Arabidopsis thaliana: one gene and its partner. The protein of the gene in region 1 interacts with the protein of each later gene in a pairwise test. Each region holds a gene or a part of one and is shown in the gene's direction. Other genes may lie near its edges. The genes, in order: ACBP4 and WAVH1.

The links.
Region 2: the proteins of ACBP4 (region 1) and WAVH1 interact in a two-hybrid assay, tested with the Arabidopsis thaliana proteins (one large-scale study listed by BioGRID).

Annotation. Positions count from the first base shown.
Region 1 is NC_003074.8:1,553,383-1,570,983, forward strand, and holds ACBP4 (acyl-CoA binding protein 4), read left to right. Parts: upstream 1-8,288; 5' UTR 8,289-8,497; coding exon 8,498-8,656; intron 8,657-9,186; coding exon 9,187-9,257; intron 9,258-9,688; coding exon 9,689-9,752; intron 9,753-9,844; coding exon 9,845-9,916; intron 9,917-10,029; coding exon 10,030-10,224; intron 10,225-10,325; coding exon 10,326-10,403; intron 10,404-10,525; coding exon 10,526-10,636; intron 10,637-10,824; coding exon 10,825-10,891; intron 10,892-10,994; coding exon 10,995-11,056; intron 11,057-11,313; coding exon 11,314-11,453; intron 11,454-11,629; coding exon 11,630-11,756; intron 11,757-11,835; coding exon 11,836-11,950; intron 11,951-12,087; coding exon 12,088-12,176; intron 12,177-12,316; coding exon 12,317-12,400; intron 12,401-12,482; coding exon 12,483-12,665; intron 12,666-12,854; coding exon 12,855-13,001; intron 13,002-13,173; coding exon 13,174-13,233; intron 13,234-13,479; coding exon 13,480-13,665; 3' UTR 13,666-13,954; downstream 13,955-17,601. Other genes in the region: AT3G05400 (Major facilitator superfamily protein), read left to right, coding at 1-53, 442-560; AT3G05410 (Photosystem II reaction center PsbP family protein), read left to right, coding at 1,401-1,719, 1,803-2,013, 7,762-8,074; AT3G05425 (uncharacterized protein), read left to right, coding at 14,092-14,223; AT3G05430 (Tudor/PWWP/MBT superfamily protein), read left to right, coding at 14,363-15,398, 15,794-17,601. UniProt on the Arabidopsis thaliana protein: Binds medium- and long-chain acyl-CoA esters with very high affinity. Can interact in vitro with oleoyl-CoA, barely with palmitoyl-CoA, but not with arachidonyl-CoA. May function as an intracellular carrier of acyl-CoA esters.
Region 2 is NC_003071.7:9,642,428-9,657,307, forward strand, and holds WAVH1 (Zinc finger (C3HC4-type RING finger) family protein), read left to right. Parts: upstream 1-2,842; 5' UTR 2,843-3,005; coding exon 3,006-5,057; 3' UTR 5,058-5,228; downstream 5,229-14,880. Other genes in the region: AT2G22690 (zinc ion binding protein), read right to left, coding at 7,393-8,538. UniProt on the Arabidopsis thaliana protein: E3 ubiquitin-protein ligase involved in the regulation of root growth. Acts as a positive regulator of root gravitropism. Possesses E3 protein ligase activity in vitro.

The DNA of each region.
Region 1 (17,601 bases):
TGGTTGGATCGCCAACTATGCTTTCAATTTTATGTTGGTTTGGAGCCCAAGCGGTGAGTAACATAAAGCATATACACATTCGATTACAAATCAAAATATTCTATTAGTTTTACTTGAATAAACCGAAGCAAATATATATACAAATGCATAAATGATTTGCTAAATCCTAAATCGCTGCCTAGGCATGTAGGCATGCATGCAAGTCTTTTGTTTAATTCTTTCATGCATGCAAGTATACCGTATACGTCTCTAGTTTTTCTTTTATAACTTTTTCTTTTAAGGATGTTAATTTTTCTTTCATATGTTAAATTTGAATTAACTAGACTAACATGTTCTTTTTTCTTTTTGTATATATATAATACTAGACTAACATGCTTAATCGTGTGCTATAAGAAAAAAGCAATGGCTAATCCTGTCTATATAAATAAAAATAACTTGCAGGGACTTTTATAATATCCGCTATAATCTGTGGAGCAACAATTGTATTCACATGGTGCTTGGTGCCGGAGACTCGAAGATTAACGTTAGAAGAAATCCAACTGTCGTTTGTCAATGTTTAGGGTTCATCGGAAGCATTCATATATACATCATAAAGGTTGATATACTACATCATTTGCTACATATAATTCGGCTTCGATCGTATCCATAAATTATTTGATTAATTCAATATAATTAACTAAAGTTTCCATTGTTTAGTTGAACTCATTGAAGATTAGTTTATTTGTATACATATATATATATATATACTATTGTTTTTCTTCGGTAACAGTGCTGATTAAAATTCGAATGATGATATGCAGCCCTTACCACTTCTATAAAGTATAAACTACTATCGACCATCTTTTTATTTATTTTATTTTGGAGTTCTTACATTCATCATTATAATACACATGATCCTTAAAGCATATAGTGTGGTATATGTTAAAACAGAACAAACTACTTATATCACCATTTTGAACCTGTTTTTAGAAAATCCTTCTTTAAAAATTCAATGCTTTTTTCTTTTTCTTAACTCAAGTTCATTTCACCAATTAATAAGAGCACAATTCCTCCTCCAATAGATTATTCTCGATAAGAATTCACAAACATATTGATACATAATATATAACTTATCTAAATATAAAAAAAATTGGGTTGAAGTGTATACATGTTAAGTTTAGTGAAGTACTGAAAAGTATTAATGATTAAGGGTCTCTAAGTAAATTAAAGGATAGTGAAGTACTGAAAAGCAATTCATATTTTTGGGAGAGCGATTCTCTTTAAACGCTGCCGTTCGGCTGTTGTTCTAAACGCCACCGTTGGTAATTGTATTAAAACGTTGTCGTATAATCTCCCTCTCGAGGTGATAAGAGAGTCGACGGCAACACTCAGCGACCTCACTTAACGAACAGAGACGAGAAATGTCTCTGAAACCTTATTTCTCTCTACTATACTCATCTCCCACTAATGTAAAACTTTCCAACTTCTTAATCGCTCAACAACCCTCCGGTGACCTGAAAACTACCCCGGCCGAGGAGTTTTCTCCACTGGTTGAGAAATTCAACCGACGGCTTCTTCTGGGTGTAGGATCGTCCTCTGTTCTTGCGATTGGTGCGAATTTCGGAGGAACCACGAGTTTTATACTCGGTTTATCGCCAGGGATAGGCCGGAATCTAAAACTCGACGTCATTTATCCGATTGGAGGATATAGCAGATGTATCGATACGGTTGAAGGATTCGGTTAGTAAGTCATCGAATTTCTCCGGTTTAAGATATTACCAATTGGAAGATAAATCAAATGATTGTCAATTTTGTAATCACAGAATTTATATATCCGGCTACGTGGGTTGGAGACCAGACGCTTTTGTATAGAGCGGCGGAGAAGTCAGAACGGGAGAATTCGCTAGACCTTCCTCCGGCAAGAAACAGTCGCCGGAAAAACGTTAATGAACCGGTTGTTGCATTTGGACCGCCCGGTTCGACCGGTGAGCTTAATGTCAGTGTTATCGTTTCCCCTGTCTCACCCAGTTTCTCGTAAGTAAAAACATCATTCTTTTTTTTTTTTTTTTTTTTTGAAAGAATGTAAAAATATATTCACCCAAAAAAACGATTGTTACAATGAATGCGACATGATTTAAAAGAATCTAAAAGAGTTAAGAACAATTAGAATGATTTCTAGCTATGGATTTGAAACCAAAACTGCAGCCCGCCTTGGAGTCGTGTATTCCCAGACTTTATAGCCGTGCTGAATCTGTTTCGAATATTCTTGTCGATGATCTTTGCAAGTTGCGTTACCGGGATAGCAAGCCCCCCATGTCGCCTACTATTACGCTCTCGCCATAAACTGTGGATCGTTGCTTGGAAAGTATAACGAAGAGTGAAGAGATGTAGATACGGACGGGATGTATCCAGCAGATGTGGAGTGATAAGGCTCCAACTCGAGATGCGTCGACCATGAAGAAGACCTTTTGTCAAAGAGCACCAGATTTGAGAGGAAAAGGGACACGAAAAAAAAAGGTGATCTCGTGTCTCCAATTCCTCATCACAGAACACACAACTATGCCAAGCTTCAGAATTCCATTTGCGGAGTTTATCACCCGTCGCAAGTCTGTTCTGAAAAACAAGCCAAGTGATGAACGAGAATTTCGGAGTAGCAGAAGAGAACCAGACTCCCCGATACCAATCGCAGCTTGGGTTTATGGTTCTTATTCGCTGCCAAGTAGTTGAAGAAGAGAAAGAGCACTTAAAGCTGTCCTCCTTTTGTTTCCAAAGTGAGCGATCACTCTCCGTGCCTCTGTCTTGTATAGCCAACGCTATGTAATTCTCAATCTGATTTAAAAGATCCACTCTATGTCTCTTTCTCCGATGAGTATTCATGACCTCAGCAACTGTAGCATGACTCGCAATACCCAGATCTATTATTCCCCGTGGCCCTAACAGTTGATGAAGTCTGCCAAGCGGACACCAATGATCATACCAAAAGGATGTGGAAGTTCCAGAACGTACTTCCATTCGATGGAGTTGACTAGCTTTGTCTCTCTGCTGAAGTATTTTTTTCCAAATCCAAGATCCCATACAAGAATTTCCCTTAACAGACCAAAACGATTCCTTACGTATCAAGTTTTTAGAGAGCCATTGAACCCACAAAGAATCCCGAGCCGACAGTATTCTCCATATAAGCTTCAAAAGACTAACCTCATTCGTTTCTTTTAAAGTCTTTAAACCCAGCCCTCCTTCTTTTTTTGGCTTACACACTTCCGACCAAGCTACTTTAGCTCTCTTAGCATTGAGTTCAGGACCAGACCACAAAAAAGCTGAAAACAACTTCTCTATCTCAACAAGACAAGCCTTCGGCAATCGAAAAACAGAGAACCAAAAGTTAATGATGCTAGAAAGAACAGACTTGATCAGTTGTAATCTACCCGCAAAAGACAAGAACCGAGTGGTCCAGGATGTAATGCGAGTTCGTATCTTCTCAACAAGAGGAAGATAATCCATCTGCGACATTCGCTTAGTAAGTAGAGGCAGGCCAAGATATTTAACCGGTAATGTACCTAACGCAAAAGGAAACTGTTGAAGAATAGCTTCCTTAGCTCGTGGAGAGATTCCTGCCATGAAGGCTGTTGATTTCTCCAAGCTTATCTTTAACCCTGACATAGCCGCGAACCTATCAAAAACTTCAAGAGTGCCCTTGATGGATTTAGTAGTTCCATCTGAGAACACCATTATATCATCGGCAAAACACAAGTGTGTGAGACTCATATTACGACACCGAGGATGATAACCAATCCGTTTTCCCTCAGCTGCCTTGTCAAGCATACAAGAGAGAACGTTCATACAGATGACAAAGAGGTATGGAGATAAAGAACAGCCCTGGCGAAGACCCCGTTCACTGCGGAAAAAACCCGAGAGCTCTCCATTCACCTGAACCGAAAAAGAAGCAGTACTTATGCAGAGTTCAATCCAATGGATAAAAATATCTGGTAAGCACATAGCTTTTAGAATATTTATCAGAAAAGGCCATTGTACAGAGTCAAAAGCTTTCGAGATATCAATCTTAAGAGCACTCCGGCTAGATATTGAATCCTTATGGTAATCCTTCACTAGTTCTGAAGCTAGCAACAGATTTTCCATCATCAATCGGTCTTTAATAAAAGCAGATTGATTTGGCGCAATAGAGGCAGGGAGGATTTCTTTGAGCCGATTAGCCATAAGCTTCGAGACGACCTTGTACAACACATTGCAGCAAGAAATTGGGCGATAATCTTTCATACCACTAACCTCCTGCTTCTTAGGAATTAAAGCTAGAATCGTGGTGTTTACACCTTTTGGCAGGAAACCCTTCAGAAAGAAAGATTGTATAGCGATTACAAAGTCTTTACCCAAAACCGGCCAAGCATGTATGAAGAATTCCACTGTATAACCATCGGGACCTGGAGATTTATGCTGCGGCATAGAGAATAGAACCTTTCTTATTTCCTCTTCAGTGACATCTCTCAATAATCTTTCGTGATCCAAAATTGAACTACGATAAGATAAGAGACTCTGGATTTCGCTGACACTAGAGCCCTCAAAATCCTCTGGCTTAGCTTGTAAGAACCTTTTAAAAAACTGCACGGCTTCCTCTTTTATATCCTCTTGGCTCGTACGCACAATGCCATCAGAACATAAAATTTCTCGGATTGAATTCATGGCGATCCTGGCCTTAACACTATTGTGAAAATACTTATTATTTAGGTCTCCTACATCCAACCAATGCAACTTAGATTTTTGCTGCAAATAACCTTCTTCCAAGACTGCTAGAGAATTCCATTGAGTGTAAGCTTGATTTTCTTCTGCAATTGCTTCAGAAGAAGCTGTTTCCAAAGCGAGTTTCTGCTTCTCACATAAGGATGTATAGGCTTGATCCACACGAACAGACAGATTATGAAGCTTATTTCGACCTAGAGACTTGAGAATAGGCTTTAGACTCTTTAGCTTTTTCGAAAATCGAAACATAGCAGAGGTTGAATGATAAAGCACGGGAGTACCAGCCCAAAAGTCTTGGACAGTTTGCAAAAACTCAGGCATTGTGGTGAGGACATTATTAAACTTGAAAGGACCTTTTGGTATCGGAGTTGCAGAGGCCAACGTTACTCTACACCGCAAATGATCCGAGCACCCTCCTGCTTCAAAAGTGCCATAAGCCGCAGGAAATTTACGATTCCATTCTTCATTAACAAGAACTCTGTCCAACTTTTTATTTATTATCCCCTCTTCTCTCTTGTTTGACCAAGTAAACACCGGACCATGATAGCTCATATCAGCTAGAGAGCAGTCTCTAACGACTTCTTGGAAATCTCGCATACCCTGCGGAATAAAAGGTGAAGTAACAAAATTTGAATGCTCCTCCCCCTCCAGAATTTCATTAAAATCACCAAGAATCATCCAACTTTTGGTACGGAACATTGGCATATTGTAATGATTTCTCAAGTCTTCCCAAAGTTCCCGCCTCTCATCCACATAGTTTGAAGCATAGATAAAAGAAACCAAAAATTCCTCTGCATTCTCTTCAGTCAAAACAGAGCAAGTAATCATTTGTCCACTTTTATAAACCGGAGTGACACGAACCGAACTCTTCCAAATAACCCAAATTCGTCCCAAACGATGGTGTTCATAGTTAGTCATAGAAGACCACCCAGGAAATACCTTAGAAATGATCTTGCTAGCACTAGTTTCATCCACCCTCGTTTCTAATAAACCCCCAAAAGTTAAAGACTCCTTTCTCACCCAATCACGAACAACGGAATGTTTATTTGATTTGTTAAAACCGCGCACATTCCAGAAGAACCCCGACATTTAATGATGTTTTTTGGAGTTTCTTCTGCTCGAATTGCTGGAGACATTGTCTCTAGCTTTTTGAGTAAAAGACTCCGAAAGGACTTTGTGTGAACTCTTGGAGGAGCGAGGAAGATTTACTCTCACCGCTCCTGCTTTCTCTTTATCCGAAGTGGAATTCTTTTCGATCGCTTGAGTAGAGACAACGTCATCAATAGAGTTCGTTCGCTCCGTCTCAATGACTTCCTCTGAGGAGATTGTGGGGAACTCATCTTTATCCCCATTCTCCTCCTGATCACTCAGGACAGAGTACCGAGAAGAGGATAAAATTGTTGCTTGGCCAAAAGTTAATGGTTTCCCATTTGACTTTTCTGTACTTTTGCTTCCTTTACCTGGGGAGACTATGGACCAACCATCTCCTTCCGACTGAGATTCTGGTGGTACCACCTTCTCTGCTACCACTTGTTGTTCAAAAACCTCCTGAGAAATCAAAATCGAGTTCTGAATCCCATCCTCTTTATTCCCACTATTAGCTGACTCATGGTCAGCAACTCTCACTGTGGTAGCAGAAGCAGAAGGATCCGCTAAAACTTCACCTTCTTCTAGCTCACTTTCTATCACCAGCGCTGGAGGCTTGAGCTTACTCACACAAACATCCACTAGGTGACCCCACTTACTACAACAAGTGCATTTGGGAGGCAACCAGGGGTAAATAAACTCCACGATAACATCTTTTTCCTCCTCAATTTTGAACCTGTGACACTTTGGAACGTCTTGCGAAAGATTTACTTCAACAAAAACTTTAGCTTCATCAAACTTTGTGCATAATTCTGTTTCAGGATGTAACCGTATTGGATTTCCTACTGAACTTGTAATAAAACTCAAACCATCCCAGGAGAACATGGAATGAGGAACATTCTTCACTGTGACCCACAACGGCATTGTTTTAATCTCTGGCTGGGCTTCTTCTTTAATCGGAGACCACTTGGCAACAATCATTGGTAAACCAGCAATGTTCCACATCCCTCTTCTGACTATTCTCGAACGCGTGGCGGAGTCACGGATTCGAAACTTTACTGAAGTAGAGTCTATCTCATAGACGTCAATCTTAATTGCTTTGTCCCCAAGAGTCCAGATCTTATTGACTATGACATGGATCTTAGCGACATGCGGAGCTTGTGATGGGAACCGTCCCACCAGAAAATCATCCCAGAGAGGGACAGATTCAGTGATAACTTCTTTCGGAACTGCAATGGTTGGGACACCGTCTTGCACAGAGACTTCATATTCATCTTTTTTCAGAGAAGGCCGTTTAGTAACTACTGCTGCATAGGACTTTTGCTGGACAGATCCAGATGGAGAACCAACTGTTCCTGCCTCAGAAGAGACTGGTAAAACCTGGTCGGACATGAGAAACCGACGGCAAGCCGCCGCTGAAACCCTAGCTTGCTGAAAAAGAATGAAAACCCTAGTCGCCAAGAAAATCGCCCTAGAGCTGACGTGTCATTAAAAAAAAAAAACATCATTCTTATAGTAGAAACATTTGATTGTTCTGTGGTAACTGGTAACGACTAAGTGATATGGTTTACTAGATCTTGCAAACAAATCTAATTGATCATGAGAAAAAATTGTAAGACTAGATCGATTATTTTAGTGGTCTAACAACTAGTTTCAAAGTTGTAATTTTCAAGATTGTTTATTACATTTAGTACATGTTTGAAGTGAAACAATATATCTCAATGTAAGTACATGATTCTCTTTACTACTTTGAATCTATCACAGAAGTTAGTGCAGACACCCGATTCGCTATGATTGTTAAGATCATAAAGTGACCTAGATCGATGAGCATCAATGTTTTTTTTTTTCTTTTGCCAATAAGCATCAATGTTTTCTTGACGAGCAATTGTCATTTTATTTCAAGAAGCGGAATCTGTTTTATGAAAGTGTTTATTGTTTACGATATAGAATCGAAGCGTTTGGAGGGCCAAAAGAAGTAGGAGAGGCAATAGTAAGAACAGTGACAGGATCTGGTCAACGAGCAGATTTGAAAGGAACTTTGCTAGAATCAAGTATCAGACAAGATTCAGAGAGAAACTTGAAGTACTACGAGTTGGAGTTTAAAGTCGAATCACCTCTTTTCCGGCGGCATAATGTAGCCGTTTGTTGCGCTCACAGTGGCCGGCTTTATACACTGAACGCTCAAGCGCCAGAGTCAGCTTGGTCAGAGGTGAAATCGGAAATTTACACTACTGCGAAATCGTTCAATATAATTTCTTGAATGTAAAGGATCGGAAAACAAATTGTAAAAACCCAAAAAGAAACAAGATACTACAAAGCAAAGCTTATTTTTTCTTCATATTGATAGGGTCTCTTTGTTTTTCTTAATTAATTCACACTATTGAGTTGATTACGATGATTAAGGTCAAAAATACGAAGTGACAATAAAAAGAGAAAAGTTTCGAGCATAATCATGTCTTCTTGATCGTGCCGCTCGCTATATAAACACTGCACCAAGCAATTACTATAATTTTTGATCAATTAAATATTAAATTTTGAGAATATGTTTCTATATTAATGAAAATAATTTAAAGTAATCATAAGTTTGTATCTTTGAACAAACGAAACTAGAAAACGCCTATCTCTGCTCATTGGCTTCTCCATCTCCGATCAAATCCGCGGTCGTAGTCAGAGAGAGAGACAAATGGCTATGCCTAGGGCAACCTCTGGTCCCGCTTACCCGGAGAGGTTCTACGCTGCTGCATCTTATGTCGGTCTCGACGGATCTGATTCGTCGGCGAAAAACGTCATCTCGAAATTCCCCGATGATACTGCACTACTTCTCTATGCGCTATACCAGCAGGTCAGCAACTTCCATTTCTGATCTCTTCCATTGTTGATCTCACGATTGTGGATTTTGCTTTTGAATTTCACGAGATCTGGTCGTTTGGGTGTTGATTTCTTTGTTTTAGTCACCGATTCATATTCCTCTCGCCGAATTCTTATCGGATTTTAGAAATGACGCACTTTACTTGTCTGATTAGCTGTGCTTGATCGTTATTTTCGATCCTGGTTAGTATATTCGAAATGCTCAGTAAAATGTTACCCGAGATCTCATCACGATTTGATTGGAAACATGATTGAAACAGTTTTATTTTATTAGATCTCAGGGAGCGTTGGTCCGTCAGTCGTAGTTTACTTGGATCTACATTGATTCTATAACTTGATTAGTATAGTCGTAGATGAATTTCTTACGAGGGGGTGAAACTGGCTGTTCCTTAACATAGAGAGAAACGTTCTCTTGTACTAATTATAATGTCGAGTCTACTAGTTTTTATCCCTGGGATAGATAGGCTCAGTGCTGATGATCTCTTGGATTTAACATTGAAACAGGCTACTGTAGGACCATGCAACACTCCGAAACCTAGTGCCTGGAGACCAGTGGAGCAAAGCAAATGGAAAAGGTTAGATTGGGTGCTGTGTTTTGCCCATACTTATCTACGATTAACATTTATGCATTTATCACTGGTTCTTTTATTTCTATTCTTGCGTTTGTGAATCATACTTGTAGGAATATGCTTCATGGTAGATATTAATAGGAGATGTCTTAGATTTCATCAATTACTAGAGCGTAAGAATCCAAATGCATTAGGGAAACGGGAAAGGAGTACTTTAGTGTAAGCTACTAGAGGAAAATAGAAATGCAGGATTTGAATGTGCATCCCTGGGGAAAAAAACTAAGTGCTTACCTATGTTTTGGACCTTTTGGTCTACATTACTGAGGTTGTTAATGCTTACGATCCTTTTTAAAGGAAAATAAGACTTTAAAGTTGTCCTCGTTCCTTTCCTGAAAGATACACATGCTACTGTTCTGAAGCATTTCATATTTACTTAGTTGGCAGGGGCTCGGAACCATGCCCTCCATTGAGGCAATGCGTCTCTTTGTGAAAATTCTGGAGGTAACCGACAAAGAGGTCTATTTTTTTTTTTTTTTTAAAGACTTAACTGGAGCATAACCTTGCTTTCTTCTCTATTGCTCAATTTTTATCAGGAAGATGATCCTGGTTGGTATTCGAGGGCATCTAATGATATTCCAGATCCTGTTGTAGATGTCCAAATTAATGTAAGTTTTGGTATCCCATGGGATTCGATGTCCAAACCATGGGAACTATTACACATATCTTTTGCTTGATTGAAGAAAATTATTTGAGTTTTTTAGTGCATTCATCTTTGTAGCAGAGAGCAAAAGATGAGCCTGTTGTTGAGAATGGGAGCACATTTAGTGAGACAAAAACAATTTCTACGGAGAATGGACGTTTGGCTGAAACCCAAGATAAAGATGTAGTCTCAGAAGACTCAAATACTGTTTCTGTATATAACCAGTGGACTGCACCCCAAACATCAGGTCAGCGTCCAAAAGCTCGTTACGAGGTAATTTATTTTTTCTCTCTCTTTTGAAGAATAAGTAAAAGGTTATGTCATTCATGTATCTTCTGTATTTTTCTAAGTCTTGTTTATTATATTTTTTTCAGCATGGCGCAGCAGTTATTCAAGATAAGATGTATATATATGGTGGAAATCACAATGGCCGTTACCTTGGTGATCTTCATGTAAGCAACCTCTATGGTTTATAAGCATAAGCTCCTAATGTAATTGAGATATTCAGCTCCTAGCTTGACAATACCAGTCCCGGTGACAGTTCCTAAGCAAAGCTTCTGTGGAATGTATACAGGTTCTAGATTTAAAAAGTTGGACTTGGTCAAGAGTTGAAACCAAGGTTGCAACAGAATCTCAGGAAACATCAACTCCGACATTGTTAGCTCCTTGTGCTGGTCATTCTTTGGTAAGTTTATTAACTTTTTCGTTTTGTTTTTGTTATTATCGTTTTGCTTTCCTGCCCAGAAATATTCAGGAGAGGGGTTTCAGCTAAAGCAAAGTATTCTCTTCATGAAAGTCACTTGCTATATTAGTTTGTAATAAAGAAGACTCTAGCTATACATTATTCACTTACCTTCTTTGCTTGTTTTGTAGATAGCATGGGACAACAAGCTGCTGTCTATCGGTGGTCACACAAAGGATCCCTCAGAATCTATGCAAGGTTAGCGTTTATATACCTTTGAAGACGATAATTTGCACATATTTATAAGATTTTTCTGGAATCTCAATGATTACATATCACTTTCTACTGTTTCCTGTCACAGTGAAGGTCTTTGATCCCCATACCATTACATGGTCAATGTTAAAGACATATGGAAAACCACCGGTATATCTTCACTTCTCTCATGTTGTCTCATTTGCTTTCCTGTCACCTTTGTATGAAAATATTACAGTTTTATACAAAAAAAAATTTGGCCGTCAAAAGACAAAAAAATAAAAGTTGTTTTCTTTCCTTACCCTCCCATAATATCTTCAGGGTTAAGGTGCATCTAAATCCAGAATTTCTCCTTGCTAATTTGGAAGTCAAATATGCATTTTGGTTACTTAAATTTAGACTTTCTTATAATTATCTCTTGCTTTTAGGTTTCACGTGGAGGCCAGTCAGTTACAATGGTGGGTAAAACCTTGGTGATATTTGGCGGGCAAGATGCAAAGAGATCACTTCTGAACGATTTGCATATACTTGACCTAGACACGATGACCTGGGATGAGATAGATGCCGTGTAAGATTTTATGATGTTTCTGCATTTTGTTCTCTTTCGAAGAAGTCAAACCCATTTAAGATTAGATATATAACCAGAATATGAATATGTTAGAAATCGACCTCCTATCTCCTTTAGTATCTTAGTCGTTATTGAAAGATTAGCAATTCAGGATTTAAATTGGTGTCAAATTGCAGGGGTGTATCTCCATCTCCGAGGTCTGATCATGCTGCTGCAGTGCATGCAGAACGGTTCCTTCTTATCTTTGGTGGCGGCTCACATGCAACCTGTTTCGATGACCTGCATGTCCTTGATTTGCAAACTGTAAGTTAAGCTAAGAGTCTATTCTTTCAGCTGCTCTCAAACATGCTTTGTCAGCCTCTGATATAATTGTCACATATAGATGGAGTGGTCAAGACCAGCACAGCAAGGTGATGCACCAACTCCAAGAGCTGGACATGCTGGCGTGACAATTGGGGAGAACTGGTTTATTGTTGGTGGCGGTGATAACAAGAGTGGTATGTTAATGCACTTTTCCCTTGGAAATTTTCTCTTCCCAACCGTTCTGTTTATCACCCCCTAGAACAAAAGATATTTGCTTGGGTTTTTTTTTTTGTGTGTGTGGGGTGACTAATTTTGTGACAAATTACTGCAGGGGCATCGGAGAGTGTTGTACTAAACATGTCAACTCTTGCATGGTCGGTCGTTGCTTCAGTTCAAGGACGTGTACCTCTTGCTAGCGAGGTACTTAAATAAACAGACTTTATCCATATTAATTCCCAGATAGCTATACAAATAAACACGGTAGAAGCCTTTTCAAGACTTCGAAAAAAGTCAAGTCATGCTTATTTCATTTCCATCGTCCTTTCCTTTGCTACTGACAGGGATTAAGTTTAGTGGTGAGTTCATACAATGGTGAAGATGTACTAGTCGCTTTTGGTGGATACAATGGACGTTACAATAACGAAGTAGGGACTGTGATCTGAACCCATAAGTTCATTTCTCTTAATTTTTCATTTAGTTCTGCTTCTAATTCTTATCTGGCATTAGATTAATCTTCTTAAACCAAGCCACAAATCAACATTGCAAACAAAGACTCTGGAAGCGCCTTTGCCAGGTAGTCTTTCTGCTGTTAATAATGCCACAACCAGAGACATTGAGTCTGAGGTTGAGGTGAGCCAAGAAGGCAGGGTACGGGAAATTGTCATGGACAATGTTAACCCTGGATCAAAGGTATCTTCTTGTCAAATTTCCCTCCTTAATATATTTTGCATAGCACCACCTTTTGATTTGTTTGAGAGAATTGAAGCATCTTATGCATATATGCTGTGGTAGTGATTGTGTCGACACAGAATATAGTTACTCCAGTCCGGATCATCACCTTCTCGCACTCTTATTATGTTTTGGGTGATTAATCCCCAGGTTGAAGGAAACAGCGAACGCATTATTGCGACTATTAAATCTGAGAAGGAAGAGCTGGAGGCATCACTGAACAAAGAGAGGATGCAGACTCTCCAACTAAGGCAAGAGTTAGGAGAAGCAGAATTACGAAACACAGATTTGTACAAGGTACTAATATTATCACCTTCTTAAAACAGAAGCCGACATGAATAAATTGGTGAACCAATCGTTCATAAAGACTGGTTGCAGCAGTCTTCCAATTGCATTCACATTTAACATCTGAAATCTCGGAATTTTTCCTCGAATATGATATACCTAACTTTGTACTGACATTTTGTAGGAACTTCAATCTGTTCGTGGCCAACTTGCAGCCGAACAATCAAGGTGTTTCAAACTGGAGGTACTAAACCGTAGCCACATCTCTTTTGTACCATAACCTACAGAATTTGGAATCTCGTGAAACCCGTGATTTAATGACTACATATACTCATATTCCAGGATGAATAGGAATCTTGATTAGAACATTCATCCATTGTAACCACTGGATCTATCACATATCTTCTCTGTCATTTATTGATAAGCTTCATCACGTCATAAGAACAAAAACAAAGCAAATCTAATTGGGTCACTTTCTCCGAATCTGCAGGTTGATGTTGCAGAGCTAAGACAAAAGCTTCAAACATTGGAAACACTACAGAAGGAACTCGAACTCCTGCAACGTCAAAAGGCTGCCTCAGAACAAGCTGCAATGAACGCTAAACGACAGGGCTCGGGTGGCGTATGGGGCTGGCTCGCTGGAAGCCCTCAGGAAAAAGATGATGATTCGCCTTGATCATTTTTGGTCCGGTAATGCCATTTTCCTCCGGACGATATTTGCTTTCAGTAAAGAAATATATATAGTTTTTTTTGTCTGAGTCTCTCGCATTGTTTCTTCTTCCAATAAGATATTTTTTTAGCGAGCTTTGATTACTACCGATGTTTAGCTTTGTTCTCTGTTATACAAGTGATTCACCAGAATATTCGTTAACTTTTTTGAAATATTTGTTTTGGGAGTGTCTGACAAAATTATGAAAACTAAATCAGTTTACGATCAGCAATCATAATTTTCTTATATTTACGAGTCTCTTACTCTCTTCACTCTTTAGTCTTCGTTTGCATTAAAAATTAAATTAAATTTACCTCACTTCGTAAGTGGACAAAAAATCACGTTTTAGGCAGCAAAATAAAATAAAATAAAAAGATCACGTTTTTTTGTCCCATGACGTGGCAACCTATTACTGGATGGGAAGTTCGACCGTTCACCATCACCATTTATGACGCTGAGAAGTTACCAAAATGTCCTTCTCACCAAGTGATGCTTTTGTCATCTTCTCCAGCTTTACTCTCATGAAATTTCTTAAATTTTCTCTTCCAGCAAACAATCTCAGGATTTAAACAAAGTTACGCATCTTCTGGCTTCGAGTTGTTTCTAGGGTTTCATTGTTATGAAAGCTCTTTAACACCGAGGGTTCAAGTGTGGTTAGAGAGAAATGAATTCGGCTGAGGTGAATGTGAATCCTAGGGTTTTTGGTGATAGTTTCGTTACTTTTTCTGGCAATGGCTCCGGGAAATTTGAAATGATTGATCAGGCCGAAGCTTTCCTTATGGAGCTTGATTCGGTTGCTGCAGACACTGGAAGTGATGGAAATGGAAATGTCGATTTAGGTTCTCGAGTGTCTAACAGTGAAACGGAACCTAGATTTTGTGAAATGAAAAGAGAGATTAGAGACTCTGATCACCGATTTTATGAGCTCTGCAACGAATCTGGTGAGAAGAAAATGGAGAAAAGGCGAGTTCCGGACTACAAATCTTTCTTATCCGAATTTGACGATTATGTTGCGAGGGAGAAAATGGGTTCTAGAAATTCGAAGGCATTGAGCTATGGTTTTGAAGTGGGAGATATGGTTTGGGGAAAGGTAAAGTCACATCCATGGTGGCCAGGTCAAATATTCAATGAAGCTTTTGCGTCTCCCTCTGTTCGTCGTGTGAAGAAGATGGGTTACGTTCTGGTTGCTTTCTTTGGGGATAATAGTTATGGATGGTTCGATCCTGCTGAGCTTATCCCTTTTGAACCTCATGTGAAGGAGAAATCACAGCAAACTAGTTCGGATCACTTTGCAAAAGCTGTGGAAGAAGCTATGAATGAAGTAGGTAGAAGGTCAGCTCTTGGCTTGACTTGTAAATGTCGGAATCAGTATAACTTTAGGCCTATTAATGCTCAAGGTTACTTTGCTGTAGACGTGCCTGATTACGAGGTCCAAGCTATTTACTCTTCTAAGCAGATTCAGAAAGCTAGGGATAGTTTTTCATCTGTGCAAACTCTAGCTTTTGTGAAGCGGTGTGCATTAGCACCTCAAGAGTGTGATACAGACAGCTTAAAGTCTTTCCAGAAGAAAGTAGCGGTTTGTGCATTCCGTAGAGCAGTGTTTGAGGAGTTTGATGAAACATATGAACAAGCTTTCAGGGCAAGATCTGTATACTGTTTAATGAAGACACATGAACCACTTAATAGAGCACCCCTTCGAGGTAGATTCACCTTTCAGCGATCCTGGCATTGTTTTGAATACATTTGTAATATTTCTGCTTCCAAAATCGAATTTTATGGAGTTTTATTAGATCTTTCTCCTATGTATCACAGAGATACGGTACTCTATAAATTGGTGATCTCGTTGAGTTTGTTTTTCTGTTTCTCGAGCCATATAGGCTACATTCGAGAGTTTTGTGGTTTGGGTATCCTTCGACATCAAAAATGCTTTTCTTAAGGTTGTTATTGTAGGATTTATAGCTATGAAGTTGTATTCTTAGAATGCCTCAAAAGGATATGGCATATCTTTGATCTTAAATTCTGGATTGTGAAATCTCATTGTGTTGGGTGGTTGGAATAGATTTCATATTTCCTCATGCATTGCTTGTGTTTACAGTCCCCTTGAGTGGCTCATTGGTCAGTGCAGAAACTCTGGGCAACCCAAAGAGCTACACAAAAGCTATGAATGTAAAGGATTCTACTAAACAAGACAAATATCTTCCAAAAAGAAGAGAAGAAGCTGGTGATATGACAGTTCAATTTGGCCAGGTCCAAGAATCTTCTCAGTTTCAGGGCATCAACGGATCTTCAGCTTGGGATCGTCTACTCCAGAGAAGGACTCCATGTCTCCAAACTCCCAGGAAACATGAGCAGACTGGGCTTGTCAGCATGAACTTCACCTCTTCAAGTGGTAATATTCCTGGAAAGAAATCCTCTGTTTCAAAGCTCTCTCGTGATGATGACAAGGGTTTAGCTCAAGAGTCAGATGTGAGAATGGGAGAAAAAGCAACTCTATTTCCAGATCAGGAGAAATTTGAACCAATGAAAAGCCTTAAACAAGATGAGACTGGAACAAATTCTAGATCTAACAAAAGCTCTCTCAAGCTTTTTAGTGGTGGGAAATTTTCTGCAGGAGTTGGGATCAAGAAAGGCAATGTCGTGAAACGGTCTTCTGGCGAAATGAAATCTGAGAATTGTCCTCCAGAACCAAAGAAAAAGAAGAAAGAGTATGTGTCAGAGCTGAACCGTGACACTCCAGATAAGAGGAAAGCGTTATCTTCTGGAGAAGCTTGGGCCAAGAAATCGTCACAAGTAGATTCAGCAAAGAGACGCTCCAATATGTTGATAGTGAAACTTGATGGTCTGCAGCTGTTGAGTAATTTGCTAGCTCTCTCGCTTGACCCTCTCTTTGGATCCTCAGATAGAAGTTCTTTTAGAGTTATAAGGCAGTTCTTTTTTCATTTCCGATCACATGTTTACCAGAAAAGCTTGGCCACATCTCCTTCCGCAACAAAACTGTCAAAATCTGCAAAGACTTTGTGCAGAGCTAATGAACAATCAAAGGCTGGGAGAAACCGCATATCGTCTGACAGTCAACAAGATGTCCCATCAACTAAGAAGCTAAAGAAAACCATTCAGTTCAAACCACTGGCTTCTGACAAGAAAACAAACCAAGATGCAACAAAGAGATCAAGTCTTGCACCTTTAAATCCAGTAAGAGACCAATGTCGAGTTCCCATCAATGCCAAACCAGCTATAGTTCAACAAGAAAAGAAGACGGGTCCATCTGCAATGGTAGTTGAGCCAACAATGCTGGTCATGATGTTTCCTCCTGGTGAATCTCTCCCTTCCATTGATCTGCTTAAGGCGAGGTTTGGACGCTTTGGACAGTTGGATCAATCAGCCATCAGAGTTTCCTGGAAATCCTCGATCTGCCGTGTTGGCTTCCTGTATAAACTCGATGCGCAGACTGCCTTAAGATATGTATCAGGAAGCAAATCTCTCTTTGGCAATGTGAATGTGACATACTTTCTCCGTGACATGAAAGCTTCTTCTGCATCCGGAGATCATGAACTGAAGAAAGCCAAGAGGCCCAAGACAGACAAACCCATCACTAAACCATTGAACCAGCTACTAGAGCAAGCACCGCCGGTTCACCAACCAAACATCCAGCTCAAGTCTTGTTTGAAAAAACCAGGCAATAACCGTAATGGTAACCACAGAACAGTACGAGTGAAATTCATGTTGGGTGAGAAAGAAACAGAGTCACCATTTTCGGTTTCGATTCTTCCTCTCTCTTCACAAGACTCAGAACCAAAGCCTGTAAATAACCAAGTGGACCACGTCGAGCCACCACTAGACCCGTCACAGCTTAAGGTGGACATCTCCCTGCAGATGATGGAGCTGTTAACAAGGTGTAACGAT
Region 2 (14,880 bases), on another chromosome or scaffold:
CGTCGAGCACAACAATGCAATAATTTACTACCTCCACAAATACTTTGCTTGCATGAAATATGACAATAAAACGTTTGGTATTTTTAAAACGCAAGAAACCATACTAGCATAATAGTAGTCAAAGTGTGATTAGTCTATGAAAGTAGCTTAAGACTACACCAATAATATGTGTCTGGTCCTATAACATACTACAAAATAGCCAAACACGTAGGTATGCATGCAAATGTACGTTAAAAGCTGTAACAAAAACAGACAAACAAACAAAAAAAAAAGTTTGGCGAAAAAAGGTGATAGGTATCAATAACTAGTTGAGATGGGATAGAGATAAATTTTAAAAAATGGACCGACCTATTACAAACAATTTAATAAAAGTAACACAAGAGTACAGAGACTAAAACAGTAGCTATGGTTTTCTTTTGGCGTCTCTGTAATAAATTGGTTTCTGGGGATCTTCGTCCTATCTCCCATGCCATTCACTATCAATACATTTATTGATGCCTTCATTATCATCTTTCTTTTGTTTTTTTGCCGATCACTTTATTTTTTTAACTCGTACCATATTCTATAGCATTGATCCTCTTGTAGTCGTAGGTCGACTTTTGTTTTTATTTGATAGTAACACTTATGTCCTTGGTGATATGTATTTTTCAGAAATGCTTTTTCGATTTATTTAAATGTGTACCCTTTTGTCGACCAAAAAAACAAATGTGTACCCTATCTTTAGTGTTTACTTTGTAGTTTGTACAAAAATACGTTTTTATGTTCGAGCAAGTTTACTTTTGACAAAGAAATGTTATTATAATAATAATAATAATATATTGAAATATCAAAATTTTGTGTGTAAATTTATTTAATTATTTGAAAATTTCAAAAATTTCCAAAACAATACGAGTAGCTTTGCTTAAATATATCTAAAAATACACAAAATAACTAAAATATCCAAAAAAATCCTAATATTTTCTATATATAAGTATAAATATAACTAATATATACTTATATTTGAGATATGTTCGAATTTTTTGGATTTTAAAGTTTAGAACCGTTCGGGTATTTTAAAAGTTTGGTTTCGAGTTTGGATCGGATTTTTCGGATCGGGTTTTTTGGATCGGGTTCGGGTATTATGCACTGGCCTAGATAAAAGAAAGAAACCATTCATCACCTATAACATTTTTACTGCATCCACCGTTATTATCAGTATACGAACATTACCTCAGTTTCAGCATTATAGCTTAGCAATAAATAGCTGAAGAAATGTAGTTGGTATTATTGTTATAGCTTAGCTAGTGGTGGCAACATGTTTATTTTCTATTCACCAGGTGATGATGGCTTATCGGATCAAGTCTTGATTCGAACATTAAATGTTTTACATGGATCGATATATAAACAAGTTAAAATTGGCTCACATCCATAGATCGATCCCATAATCTATGCGTTTATACATTCACTGCACTGTATTAATTTAACCCAATCATATTTGCTCATCTACTACATTAAATTCTGTCAAAGTTTCAATAGTGTGTTACACAATAACGGTCAAACAACAAATGATTCTCCAATAACAACTATTTAGACAGTCAAAAATTTTAGCGTGAGACTAGACGGATCGATAGGGCATAATAGCATATATGTATAGCCCATACATTAATAACTAGACATTATTACAAAAATTTCGGTGCTAAACAAGTTTTTTTTTAATGGACCCTTTTATTAGATTACTTTAAATAAACCGATGTTAAAAATCTTGTTTACAAAAGTAATAAAATGCGGTTGGATATGAACATTTCGTGCTAAATAATCTGTTTTAACATTTTAACTTCAAAAAAATAAAAATAAATATAAAAATCAAACACATCCTTGTCTTCATGAATCGCCTCTAAATACGTAGCAAAGATTGGTCACTTTGTTGGAAAAGACACCACTTTTATCAAGTCTGAGGAATCTGTAAAGAACGTTACTTCTTGTTTGTCTTGACCAATCATACATCTTATTGTTCATACGAGTGAACGAGTGCTTCCACTTATGTAAATAGACATGTGAGACTTCTTCGTAGGTTGACATCACCTATAGTTGGATATTTTCTTGTTGGTAAGTTTTTAGATAGCCAAAATACTATTAAACATTCATAAGCAAGTGAAAATATTTATTTGAACGATTTAACTAAAATGTTGTTATGTATTTATACAAACATATATATTTTTTTATACATATACATGTTATTTTACTAAATAACGTTTTTGTCCAAAGTTTTTTTTACTGAATAACGTGTAATCAAATAAAATAATAAAAGAACAAGGGATCTCTTCTTGATAAAATATTTTGATTTCATATAAAAGTAGGTGATATCTATAAAATAAATTTACAAAATGTTTTAGTTTGTGAATGAACTTCAGAGTAAAATTGTAAAGTTAAAAGTAATTTTACAAATTTAAATAATTAGTTTAGTTATTTAGCAGATACATATAGTCAGTCTGCTATCATAGCATTTAGGTTGAAGCCTTTAAGTTTATCTTGTTCAATTTTTTATATAATATATATATATATATTTTTAATCTAGGTGGTAAACAAGCTTTATCACTTAAAAGGTTAAAATGAGTGGGGCAATAATAGATGTAGCTCATAAGTTCTATGTTGAAAAAGATTAATACCAAAAATCAATCATTTTCTTATAATCAACCATGGAGTAGAAAAGCAATTACACAAATAGAGTAACTTCTAAAATATTTACAGCTTTTTAGGTAGTCAATTACTATTAGTACTATTTCTTAATTCTCTCAATAAAATAAAATAATAAAAAATCATATAGATAATCCCAATATCCCCAATCTTCCACTATAATTGAACAAAAAAGACTCCTTTTTAAATTCAACCTCTCCCACCTTCTCTCTGCAACTCTCTCATTTTCTTAAAATCTCTTTCTCACAGAACCAAAAACCAAAATCTCAGTCTCAAACAAACAACAACAACACACGAGTCACGAGGTTGAAGAAGAAGAAGAAGAAGCAAATATGTTAAACGGCTGGAGAAGAGCTTTTTGCACTTCCATTCCCAAAGAAACTAACCAAAACGACGTCGACGACGACGGACTCGTTGGTCTCCGCCACAAATCAACCTCTCGATTCGGCTTTTTCTCAACTCCTTCTACGCCTCGTTCTGATTCCGGCACCGGAACTTACAGCCTCCGTTGCAGGACTTCAACAGCCACCGCCGTCTCCACTACTTCATCTCTTCCCGGAACTCCAAAGCTTAAGTGCAAAACCACCACCACCGGAGAAACAACTCCCAGAAACAGAAGCCTTGTCTCTCTTTTAACACCTTCTTCTTCTTCTATTTCTCCGGCGAGCTTCACTCTCCTCAAATCCAAACTCCGATTCAAGCAGAGTAGCAGTAACAAATGTGGAATCTGTTTACAGAGTGTGAAATCAGGTCAAGGTACGGCGATTTTCACGGCGGAGTGTTCTCACACGTTTCATTTTCCTTGCGTAACCTCACGCGCCGCCGCGAATCATAACCGTCTTGCTTCTTGTCCGGTTTGCGGATCCTCGCTTTTGCCTGAGATTCGAAATTACGCTAAACCGGAATCTCAAATCAAACCGGAAATTAAAAACAAGTCGTTGAGAGTTTACAACGATGACGAAGCTTTGATTTCATCTCCGATATCTCCCGCCGGATTTCACACAATACTTGAATCAGATGAGAACGAAGACTGCGAGGAGTTTACAGGATTTTCCGTTAATACTCCGTCACCTTTAACGGCGAAATTGTTAACGGATCGAAACGTGGACGTTAAGCTCTCTCCGGAATCGGCTATCGTTGCGTCGGGTAAAGGCTACGAGACTTACTCCGTCGTCATGAAGGTGAAATCGCCACCGTTTCCGACGGCGCGTGGATTTGCGCGTAGAGTGCCGGTGGATTTGGTTGCTGTTTTAGACGTAAGCGGGAGAAATTCCGGTGGGAAATTGGAGATGTTGAAACAAACGATGAGGATTGTGCTTTCGAATCTCCGGGAGATGGATCGTTTATCGATTATTGCGTTTTCGTCCAGCTCGAAACGGTTATCGCCGTTACGGAGGATGACGGCGAACGGGAGGAGATCGGCGCGAAGAATCGTAGATATCATCACCGTTCCTGGTTCTGTCTCCGGCGTCGGAATTGATTTCTCCGGTGAAGGGATGAGTGTGAACGACGCGTTGAAGAAAGCGGTTAAGGTGTTAGACGATCGCCGGCAGAAAAACCCTTTCACCGCCGTGTTCGTTTTAACGGACCGTCAAGCCCATCAAGTGGCCCAATTAGCCCATTCGAGAATCCCTATACACACCATATGGCTTAGCCACGCGATTCCCGAAGACGCGTTTGCGAGGACCATCAACGGTTATTTGAGTTTGTCGGTTCAGGATCTCGGTTTACAGCTCGGGATAGTTTCCGGGTTGGGTCAAGGAGAGATAACTTCTGTTTACTCTCTTTCCGGTCGACCCGCTTGGCTTGGAACCGGTTCAATCCGGTTAGGTGATATGTATGCGGAGGAAGAAAGAGCGTTGCTGGTTGAAATCAAATCACCGGTTAACAATTCCTTAACCGGTAGTAGATCTCACAAAATCATGACCGTTAGATCTCGTTACGTGGATCCAACAACTCAGGAATTAAGAAACCCCGAAGATCGCGCGCTTTTAATACCTACTCCTCTAACTGTCCGATCATCATCAAATCCCAACATCTCACGGCTCAGAAACCTCCACGTCAGCACTCGAGCCGTCGCGGAGTCTCGGCGGCTAATAGAGCGTAACCATTACTCCGGAGCTCATAGATTGCTGACGTCAGCTAGAGCATTGCTTGTGCAGCACGGTTTGAGCTCGAGCGATGCGTGTATACGTGGACTGGACGCAGAGATAGCTGATCTTAATAGTGTGAAAGGAAGACACGTGGCGGCATCAGAGAGTTTGGAGTCGCTTACTCCGACGTCGGCTTGGAAAGCGGCGGAGAGGTTGGCTAAAGTGGCGATGGTGAGGAAACATATGAACAGAGTCAGTGACTTGCATGGTTTCGAAAACGCTAGATTTTAGCTTTTTTATGTATTTAAATATATTTCCATATTTAGAGTAACAACTTGTGTAATAATAATCTGATACAAACAAATAGAAATGGTGCATAAATGGAGTTATATTTGGTCAAATGATAAGTTTGGATAGTTATTTTATATCATTCAGCTTTTATGCGATTTCATTTCTCACCGTAAAGTTGATTATACAATTTTGGTTAGGGAATTAGGTAGTAGGTTTTACCAAATCAATCTTAATATTTAAAATTGTATAAAGAACAAACTATATATTAAGCCACTATCATATACACTCAATACTAAAATCTTACACGCTTAGAGAAACTCGTGTAAAATGTCAATGTAAAATGAATTTTAGCAAAAAAGAAAGAAAAAGAAATCAATGTAAAATGAATTGGCCGGTGATATTTGACTGAAAACATGACTAGAGCTCTTCCATTTGTTTTGTTGTAAAATTTATACGCATTCGAAATGCTTATAACATACATTAGTCGTGTTGAACATGGTATGATCTTTTCTTTTACTTAATTAATCTCTTATGAGAACTTTTTATATATATATTTTTGTGCTTTACAATTATTATAGTGAAACTTTTTAGATAGAGCCTATATTCTATGTGTACTTCTTCGTAATGGATGTGTAGATTATAAATACTAAAATGTAGTCAAAAACAAGGGATGTAGCCTTTTCGCGGCTACACACTGATTAAATTCGTTGTATCCAATGATGGTCAACAAAATATTTTCTAAGCAATACAATAAATCAGCAATAAACAATTCTAAAGAAGCCTTATAAATATGATTGCAAATGCTAATAATTGAGTTTAGGATATCATTTTAACGGCGGAATTCTGTCTCCTTTTTGTTTGTCTCGTAGGCTTTTTACACCTCTCTTATCATTTTAACGCCGGAATTCATAGTACTATGAATCTATGATTGCTAATGAGTAATGCCACATCTCTTTTGGGAGTCGCTTGCGTTACGCACAAAATGCATCATATTTTCCCAATTGTCTAGCAATTAGCCGCAAAAGATCAATGTTTACACAAGATTCAGTAGGTATCTCGATTGATCGGTCATTATCTATAGTTTTATCCGAAATTAACTAAAGAAACTTATCAACTTCTTAGATAAATTAATGGTTGTAGAAACCCCTTGACTTAGTAGTTGATTTTGTGAACTTTTAAGACAAGATGCGAGATATGAATCATATGATTTACGCATAATTCATATATATTTTTTACATTATGGATACAAAAAGTTTAAAGTTGTTGTAGATAGATCTGTCGTTGGATGGTCTCGTGTATTCCAAACCGGTTAAATTTATCTAAATGTAAGTTTATCTTAGAAATTTTGATTAGTCAATTAGTCACATGTCTATCTCAACCAGCTTCTTGAACTACTCGAAAATAAATTGCTAAAAGATATCACTTTTGTTAAAAATACAAAACTTATATATAAGCATCGGCCTAAGTGTTATATATAAGCATCGGCCTAAGTGTTACATACTTTCATTTTATTAGCCCGACTAACGTATACCACCAACTTTTAAAAGTTTTGAATAAATTCTTGTAACTTTAGTCAAACAGAGAGAAAGAGAATAAAAGCCAAAAACAACTTTGAAAGCAAATGTTTTTGGTACGTTTAATTTGGAAAGCGATGGTGCGTTCCACTAAAGAGATGCAATAATGGTTCGCACGACTATATCTAAAAGTTCATATCATATCTAAACAAGTTCAAGATTTAGTATATACATGGACACGTATTAATTTATGTAGACCAAAAGCCAAAAAGTAGTTCACAAATTTATGTTAGTGGAGAGAGGAGAGTTTTGAAATGATCAAGAAGACAAAATGACCCTAAATACTTATCTTTAATTTAATAACTCTTTTATAATGTACTTTATCCATTAAGAATCTCAAAAAGCTCTCCAAACATAAAGAGTTTGATCCTTGGGGTTGTATTGTATTAAGTGAATGATATACCAAATTTTAAAGTGTTTTCTTTTCGAAGCACCAAAGTTTAACGTTTCCATTTTCGTATAGATAAAGATATTCGACAATCAATACTTAAAAAATGAAACATTGGTGAGTGAACGACGAATGATGGTCGTATGATGAATCGGTAAGTTCTGTCTTGGCAAGTGATCAAAGTTGGCGCGATAACGGATCTTCCTGTCATTCAAAATTCAAGACCACTAGACCAAAGACCATATGGGTATAAAAGGTTTTATTTCAAACTATAGTTTTTGTACACGAACCCAATTCAAGTTCATAAAAGAAAAGATAAGAAACATTTGTCTACTTTCTTTAGAAATGCTGCATAAGAAGTTGTAAAGCTAGTCTAAAAATATAACTGCTTACACTGCGAAGCATCAATATCTGTTGGACAATAAGGACACTTGAACGACCTTGAACCATTCCTCGACATTCTGTTGATAGACTGCTTGCAAAGGACATGACCGCAAGCCAATCTCATCGGCGGATTATCTTCGCTCGAGTGTTCTTTAGAGACAGGGCAGACAAAGACCGAGTAGAAGCGATACTCTTCAGAGAGTTCCACAGGTACAAGAAGTTGCTCCATTGTTTGCCACTCTTTTCTTTTCTCCGGCAGCACGTTCAAATACTTCAAAAACGTCGGTAAAACTTGTGAACCTGCTGCAACTGTTACACTTAAAGGACTCTCTGGTGATTCACCGAGTAGGATGCAGTATTGTCGGGTTAGTTCCTTGGCAGCGTTGGTCCACAATACAGGTGAGAGGAACTCTGAGTATGGGGATTTATTGAGGTTTCTGATCCATAAGAGAGAGCACATGAGTTTCTGTATCTCAGGGAAACAGCAGCTATCTGCTGAATACGTAGCAAAGTGTTTTCTCGCGTAGTTGATAGCTTCTTCGGAGGTTTTGTCTTTAGCTATCTCCAAAAAGTGAAGGCTGTGAAGTTTCAACTCAAGATCTGACTTTGCTTCCTTTAGCTTGTCAGAGTTTGAAGCTACCCATTTCAAAGCTGGTCCGAGATCCCGTTCTTTCATGGCTTCAAGTATCATATTCATTTCCATGAAAGCTTTAGTAACAGAAGATTCAGGCTTAACCTCACCAGTCTCGGAAATGAAACAGTCACCAACGTCGTACATGCCTTGCCTGTAGAAAAACTGAGCTAGTATCTGATGAACTGTATGAGTATCAAACTTAACGTTTCTGTAAGCCGTCGATATATCTGGATTCAGAGTTTTGTCAAGAGCTTTCGGGTATTTGGTAAGAACCCCATTTATTTCTTTCTGAGACGCTTCTAGTAGATTGATTGGAGCAATCTCCTCAAAAGTTTTCTTCAGATCAGCAACAACAGATTCATGATTATCCTCCTGTATCGTTTTCAATGCCTTGTCGATTTCTTGAGACATTTTGTCTACCACTTCATGCGTTTTGCTATAGCATAGTTTCTGCTTTTTGGTAACACGATCAAACGCATCTTTGACATTCTTTAGCTCCATTCTAAAGATAATCAACTACATGAAAGAAGGAACCAAGTATCAATAACCAAAAGAATCATATCCACAATAACCACTATAATCTCCATTAATCAACTCATTGTTCAGAGGAGTTCTTAAATCTAATCGATTCATTGCAATTCAAATTCTCATAGCATAGTAGCAGAATCAACGCATCAGATGCAACACCAAACATTTTTTCTGATTATTCATACCAAATGATCCAGGAATCGAAATATCAGACACACGGATTCGAATTTCAAACAAACCAGAGAATCTGACGATCGCGAATCAGAAATGAAGCGAAGAAGAATTCATATTAAGAAACCGTGGAGAGTCAGAGATACATAAAAGGCATCAAAGAATCTGGAAAAACATGAACCTGAAGAAGCGATGAAGATTATCGCCGGAAACGGAGAAAGATGGAATCGGAGGAAGAAGAGAAGATGAATTTGCAGATTTCTTCTTCAGTTTCTTTGAAATAATCAATCTCTCTGATCTTGAAGATGAATGAATCACAGCCGTTGGATTTGATCGGTTTCTTTTCAACAATGTAACTATTTGGGCCGAGAATATTTTTACGTGGGCCTAGTTAATTAAAATTAAATGCGACAGTTTGAGGTGTCCTCTCCAAGTTAACGAAATGTATATATGAAGAAGCTAGGTCTCTCGGCTCTCGCTAGGGGTTTCTAGGTTTATAACGTATCAACAAACAAGGATTCATTATCTCCGACTCCCAAATCAAATGATCTCATCATGGAGATATTGTCGAGATTACCTTTAAAGTCATTAGCGAGGTTTCATTGTGTGTCGAAGCTATGGGCATCAATGTTTGGTAGTCCATATTTCAAGAACTTGTTCTTGACCAGGTCATCGGCTAAGCCGCGCCTCTTATTCGCCTTAGTTGAGAAAGGCGACGTTAAAGAAGAATCATGTGGTGTGTGGAGCTTTTTCTCGTCGCTTCAGCTTGATAATTTATATGAGGAATCGTCGTCCACTCTTGTAGCAGCTGCCGAATTTCATGGGAAATTCTCTCCAAACAATCATTATGTTAACCTAAAAAAAAGTCACGTGGCTACGCCTCTGGTTTAGTCTATTTCCATGGTAGTTAATACCAGGGTGGACTTCTGATATGTAACCCCATCACAAGACATCATGCAATTTTACCGAAGCTCTATAGTTATAGACTGGCATATAGCTTTTTCGGATTTGAAGGGGACGTGGGATGTTTGATGTTTTAAACCCGTTTTGTGTAGGTAACAAAACTAGCATCACAAGATTATACCAACTTGACCAAAGGTCTGTTTAGTGATTTTGTAATGGACGTTAGGCCATCTCCAACGCTGGGCTCTGTTGAAATTTTGCAGAGTCTCTGTTGATTATTTTGATTAAAATTTAATCAAACTGAAAGAAAAACTAGAGAAGCGTTTCTGTGGAGAGAGTTTATGAGGGAATGAGAGAGGCGAACATGTGGCATACATTCATTGGTTATCTTCTTTAAACAAAAGAAAAAAATAAAAATGATTGATTTCATTTTCTTTGTTTTGCCCGAACAAATTCTTTTCTCTCTCTCCTTCTCTTTCTCTTCGCGACATTGACAAAAGAAAAATTGCTCAATCTTTGAAAAACCAGAATAATTGACGCCGGTGATTGTTTGTATTTCGCTGTGTTATCTTAGGCTTTCAACGGTGTTCACATCGGCGGAAGTTTGCTGAAATCGAAAAATAGCAAATTGGATTCGGAGAGTTATCGCCGACGCCTTCCCCAATTTAGGTATGAATCAATTCTAGTCTTTATTACGTGATTAGATGTTGTATTTGGTGGTTTAATCAAAAAAATTAGGGTTTTTGAATTGAAGAAAATTTAGGGTTCTTTTTTTAAAATTAGGGTTCTTCGTTTGTAGCAAGATTAGGGTGTTTTTTGATATATCTTGAAGCATTTTCTATAGTTTTGTATGGTCATAGATCGTTTTGGAGACATGTTGTATAGATTTATATGGTCATAGATCGTTCGATAGTTTGATTTTCTTTTTAATGTATATGTAGATGTGATTGATTGGGTTTAGTAAATGTAAACTTTGTTGTTTAATATCTGTTTATGTGATTGAATCAAATTGTAAAGTTAACTGTAAATGCTAATTGTTGTTTTTTTCTCTATGCTTTTGGTGAGTGTCAATGGCGGATGAGCAAGTGGTTGTGAGTTAAGGAGAAACTGTAAAGGAATTCGTCTATGCACTTCAATGAAGGTAAATATGTACTTGATTGATTGTTATATAGCATTGATTGTTATTTTTTTTGTGGATAGACGTTACATAGCTTTTCACTGTGATAAATGGTTTTTGACAAATGATAAAGCTTTTGATAGTGATAAATGTGAGCTTTAGACAATGATAAATGTTTGCTTGAAGTTGATTTCAACTAATAACCATAATAATGGCTTGAAGTTGATTACGACTAATAACCATAACTTTTGCTTTTAAAAATCTTTTTGCCTTAACTGAAATTATTAATGTCGAAGCAGTTTATATATAACCCAAACATCCAAAGCTACTAACTTAAACCATTCTATTCCTTAAACACATAGCTTCTCAGTTAACTTTTCTCTTCTTTAAACACATAGCTACCCTTCTTTCTACTCTAAACATCCAAAGCAACTTGTAAATGGATTCTTACAATCCATTTTCTCAAGCTTCCCGTTTTATGGACTTGTTGCAACAGTCAACAAGAAAGCCACAACAATGAGACCAATCAATATGAGGTTGGATCCTCAGAAATTCCCGTTTTTGGAACTCAACGTTGTCAAGAAAGTCATGAGAAACGTTATGCTTCTAGGGTGGCCATTGCAAGAAAGAAATGGGCAGCTAAAGAGGATATAGTACTCATTAGTGCCTGGTTAAACACTAGCAAAGACCCCGTGGTCGGAAATGAGCAAAAAGCTCCAGCTTTTTGGAAGAGGATTGCTTCTTATGTTGCAGCAAGTCCAGACCTTGATGGTGTTCCAAAGAGAGCGTCGGCTCAATGTAAGCAAAGATGGGCGAAGATGAATGAGCTAGTCATGAAGTTTGTGGGCTGTTATGCCACAACCACAAACCAAAAAGCAAGTGGGCAAACCGAGAATGATGTCATGCTCTTTGCAAATGAGCTCTTTAAAAATGATATGAAAAAGAAGTTCAGTCTAGATCATGCATGGAGGCTGCTGCGACATGACCAAAAGTGGTTAATATCTAATGCTCCTAAAGGGAAAGGAATTGCGAAAAGAAGGAAGGTTCGAGTTGGTACTCAAGCTGCAAGTTCACAGCCTATTGATCTTGAAGATGATGATGTAATGCGTCGGCCTCCGGGTGTGAAGGCTGCGAAAGCAAAAGCTAAGATGACACCAACAGTTAAAGGAGAAGAAGTGAATTCAGTTGAACACTTGACTTCTTTGTGGGATCTTAAGGAAAAAGATTGGGATCGTAAGGATAAGCAAAGCAAAAACCAAATGCTTGAAAGTCTTCTTTCAAGAACCGAACCTCTTTCAGAGTGTGACTTGGTTCTTAAGAAGAAGCTAATTGAGGAGTTGTTTTCATAAGTACCGAACCTCTTTCAAATGTTTAATTTCTTTCTAAGTACTTCTAGGATTTGTTTCAATGTCACAACAATGACATGTTTAATTTGCTTTGTCTGTTTTTATTGCAAATCACTTTGCTTATGTATGATATTGTCTTAATGTTATGTATGATATTGCTTTAATGCTTTTTATGATATTGTTTTGTCTCTTATCTTATGTCACAAGTCATATTTGGCCTTATATGTCACAAGACTTTGTTGTTAACTTTTGCAGTTTATCATCACGGGTTGGAGACAAAGATAGACAAGACACGTAACTTGCAACTCATGTTCCACTTGATGCCAAAAGAGACATATGATTTGTTTGCTTTGTTGTCTTGTTTTTAGCTTTGAGTCTATCAACAATTTAAATATGAGGTACTTTTAGACTAAATATATTTAATTAAGGTATTTTTATTCCAATAAAAAATATTAGGTATTAAACAACAAAAAATAATAGATGATTTTTTCAGGATTTTTTTGCCAAATTATTTTTTAGTTTATTATATAAAAATATTATGCTTTATTTAACATATATAAAAGATAAATAATAGAATATTTATTATATTATTTAGTAATCACAAATGATTTAAAAATGCTAAGACTGCAAAACTACTATTTTTTACGGTAAAAATGTCATTTAATCCCCCAACTTTCAAAAAATTGGCCATTTTATACATCAACTTCGTATGTGGCTGTTTAAAACATGAACTAAACGTTGACTAATTTTTAAAACATGATCTTTCATTGATCAGGCCAAAATAGACATGCCGTTATCAGTCATTAACGGAACTTCTAACGTCCGTTATCATCCGTTAACTTTATTAGTCAAGTTTCAAATTGTGGCCATTTTAAACATCAACTTCTTATGTGGCCATTTAAAACATGAACTAAACGTTGACTACCATTTAAGACATGAAAAATTCGTTTACAGGGCCAAAATAGACATGTCTTTATCAGTAGAACCTAGAAACCCGTTAATGACTGTTAATCTGTCCAAAACAACGTCGTTTGAAAATAATCGAAAGAACATAAAGATTTTTCCCATATGAAATTCCATATTAAAAAGTTTTAAGCAGAACCCAAGAACATAGTTTGATAAAGCGATAATCGCAGTGCCAGTAATTGGAAACAAATAAAGGTGTTTTCGTTTATATATTTGTTTTAAATTTTAAAAGGAATCATGGAAGCAAATTGAAGACTCATTATAAGATTGTTCGTCTTGTTTGGGCGGTTGTAGAAATAGATTTGGGGAACTAGGGTTTCATTTAGAAAACAATCCTGATTTTCTTTTGATTATTCTCAAAACAAAGTCGTTTTAGGAATACTAATAGACTCGTTAACAAGTGATAATGAATGTTATAAGTTTTTTTAATGAATGATGACAACATGTTTATTTTGGCTTGGTCAACGAATTTCTCATGTTTTAAATGGTAGTCAACGCTTAGTTCATGTTTAAAATGGCCACATATAAAGTCGATGTTTAAAATGACCACAATTTAAAACTTGACTAATAAAGTCGTTAACGGATGATAACGGACGTTAGAAGTTCCGTTAATGACTGATAACGGCATGTCTATTTTGGTATGGTCAACGAATAATCATGTTTTAAAAGTTAGTCAACGTTTAGTTCATGTTTTAAACGACCACATACGAAGTTGATGTATAAAATGACCATTTTTTGAAAGTTGGGGGATTAATTGACATTTTTCCCTATTTTTTACCACCTTTTGCAACAATAACCTTTTATGTTGTACATTTTTAAAAATACCCCTTCCCTTTAACAGAATGACCAAATTACTCTCATCTAATAGGAACATGTAATTGGAAACTGAAATTTTCTAGCCAAATTTATTTTTCCCGCAAAAAAAAAAAATTCCGCCAAATTTTTTTCCCGCCAAAAAAATTCCCATAACAATTTTTTTTTTCAGCCAAAAAAATGCTTTTAAAAATCCTTGTGAAATATTTTTAGCGGAAAATAGATTTACAAAGGATTTTAAAAGAGTTTTAAAAGATTTACTAGGGATTTAAAAGAGTTTTAAAATATCTACAAGGGATTTTAAAAAGATTTTAAAAGATTTACAAGAAATTTTAAAAATTTTTAAAAAGATTTACAATCGAACCGACCCGAACCTGATTGGACCCGAACCGAGATTTTCTATTTATTCTATTGAATCCTAGAATAATATACCCGATATACCCGTACCCGACCGGGTATTACCCAAACCCGACCTGCATACCTGAATGTCCTGCCCTACTACAAATTTTGATATACAGTATTGCTAAAACTTTATCATCGTTTTGTTATTAATATGACGCGGTTAAAAAAATATGAGAAGTCTACAAATTTTTAGACGTAGATGAGATAATAAAAAGGAAATATAACTTTTCTCTATTATTGGTATTTAGTTTTTATAAACAAAATGTTTACAAAAAAGAATAATATTTTTTTTGTAATAATAAACTCTGTAAATTGTGTACTTTTGTGATATATAAGCTTCAACTTTCTATATACTTTTTAATCTTTGTTTTTTTTTTTAATTTAAAATCTTTATATAAGCAAATATAATTTATATTCCACTCCGTTTAAAGCACCATCGATGAAAATTCCCGGTGGATTCTCGCCGGTAGGAGGAGATGTCTCAATTTTCACTCAAATCTTTTTTAGTTTTTACCAAAAATATATTAAAGTAAAAGGCAAAAAATCTTCAAATTTATTCTTACCAACCAAACAAACAAAAAGAATCCTTGCAAAATA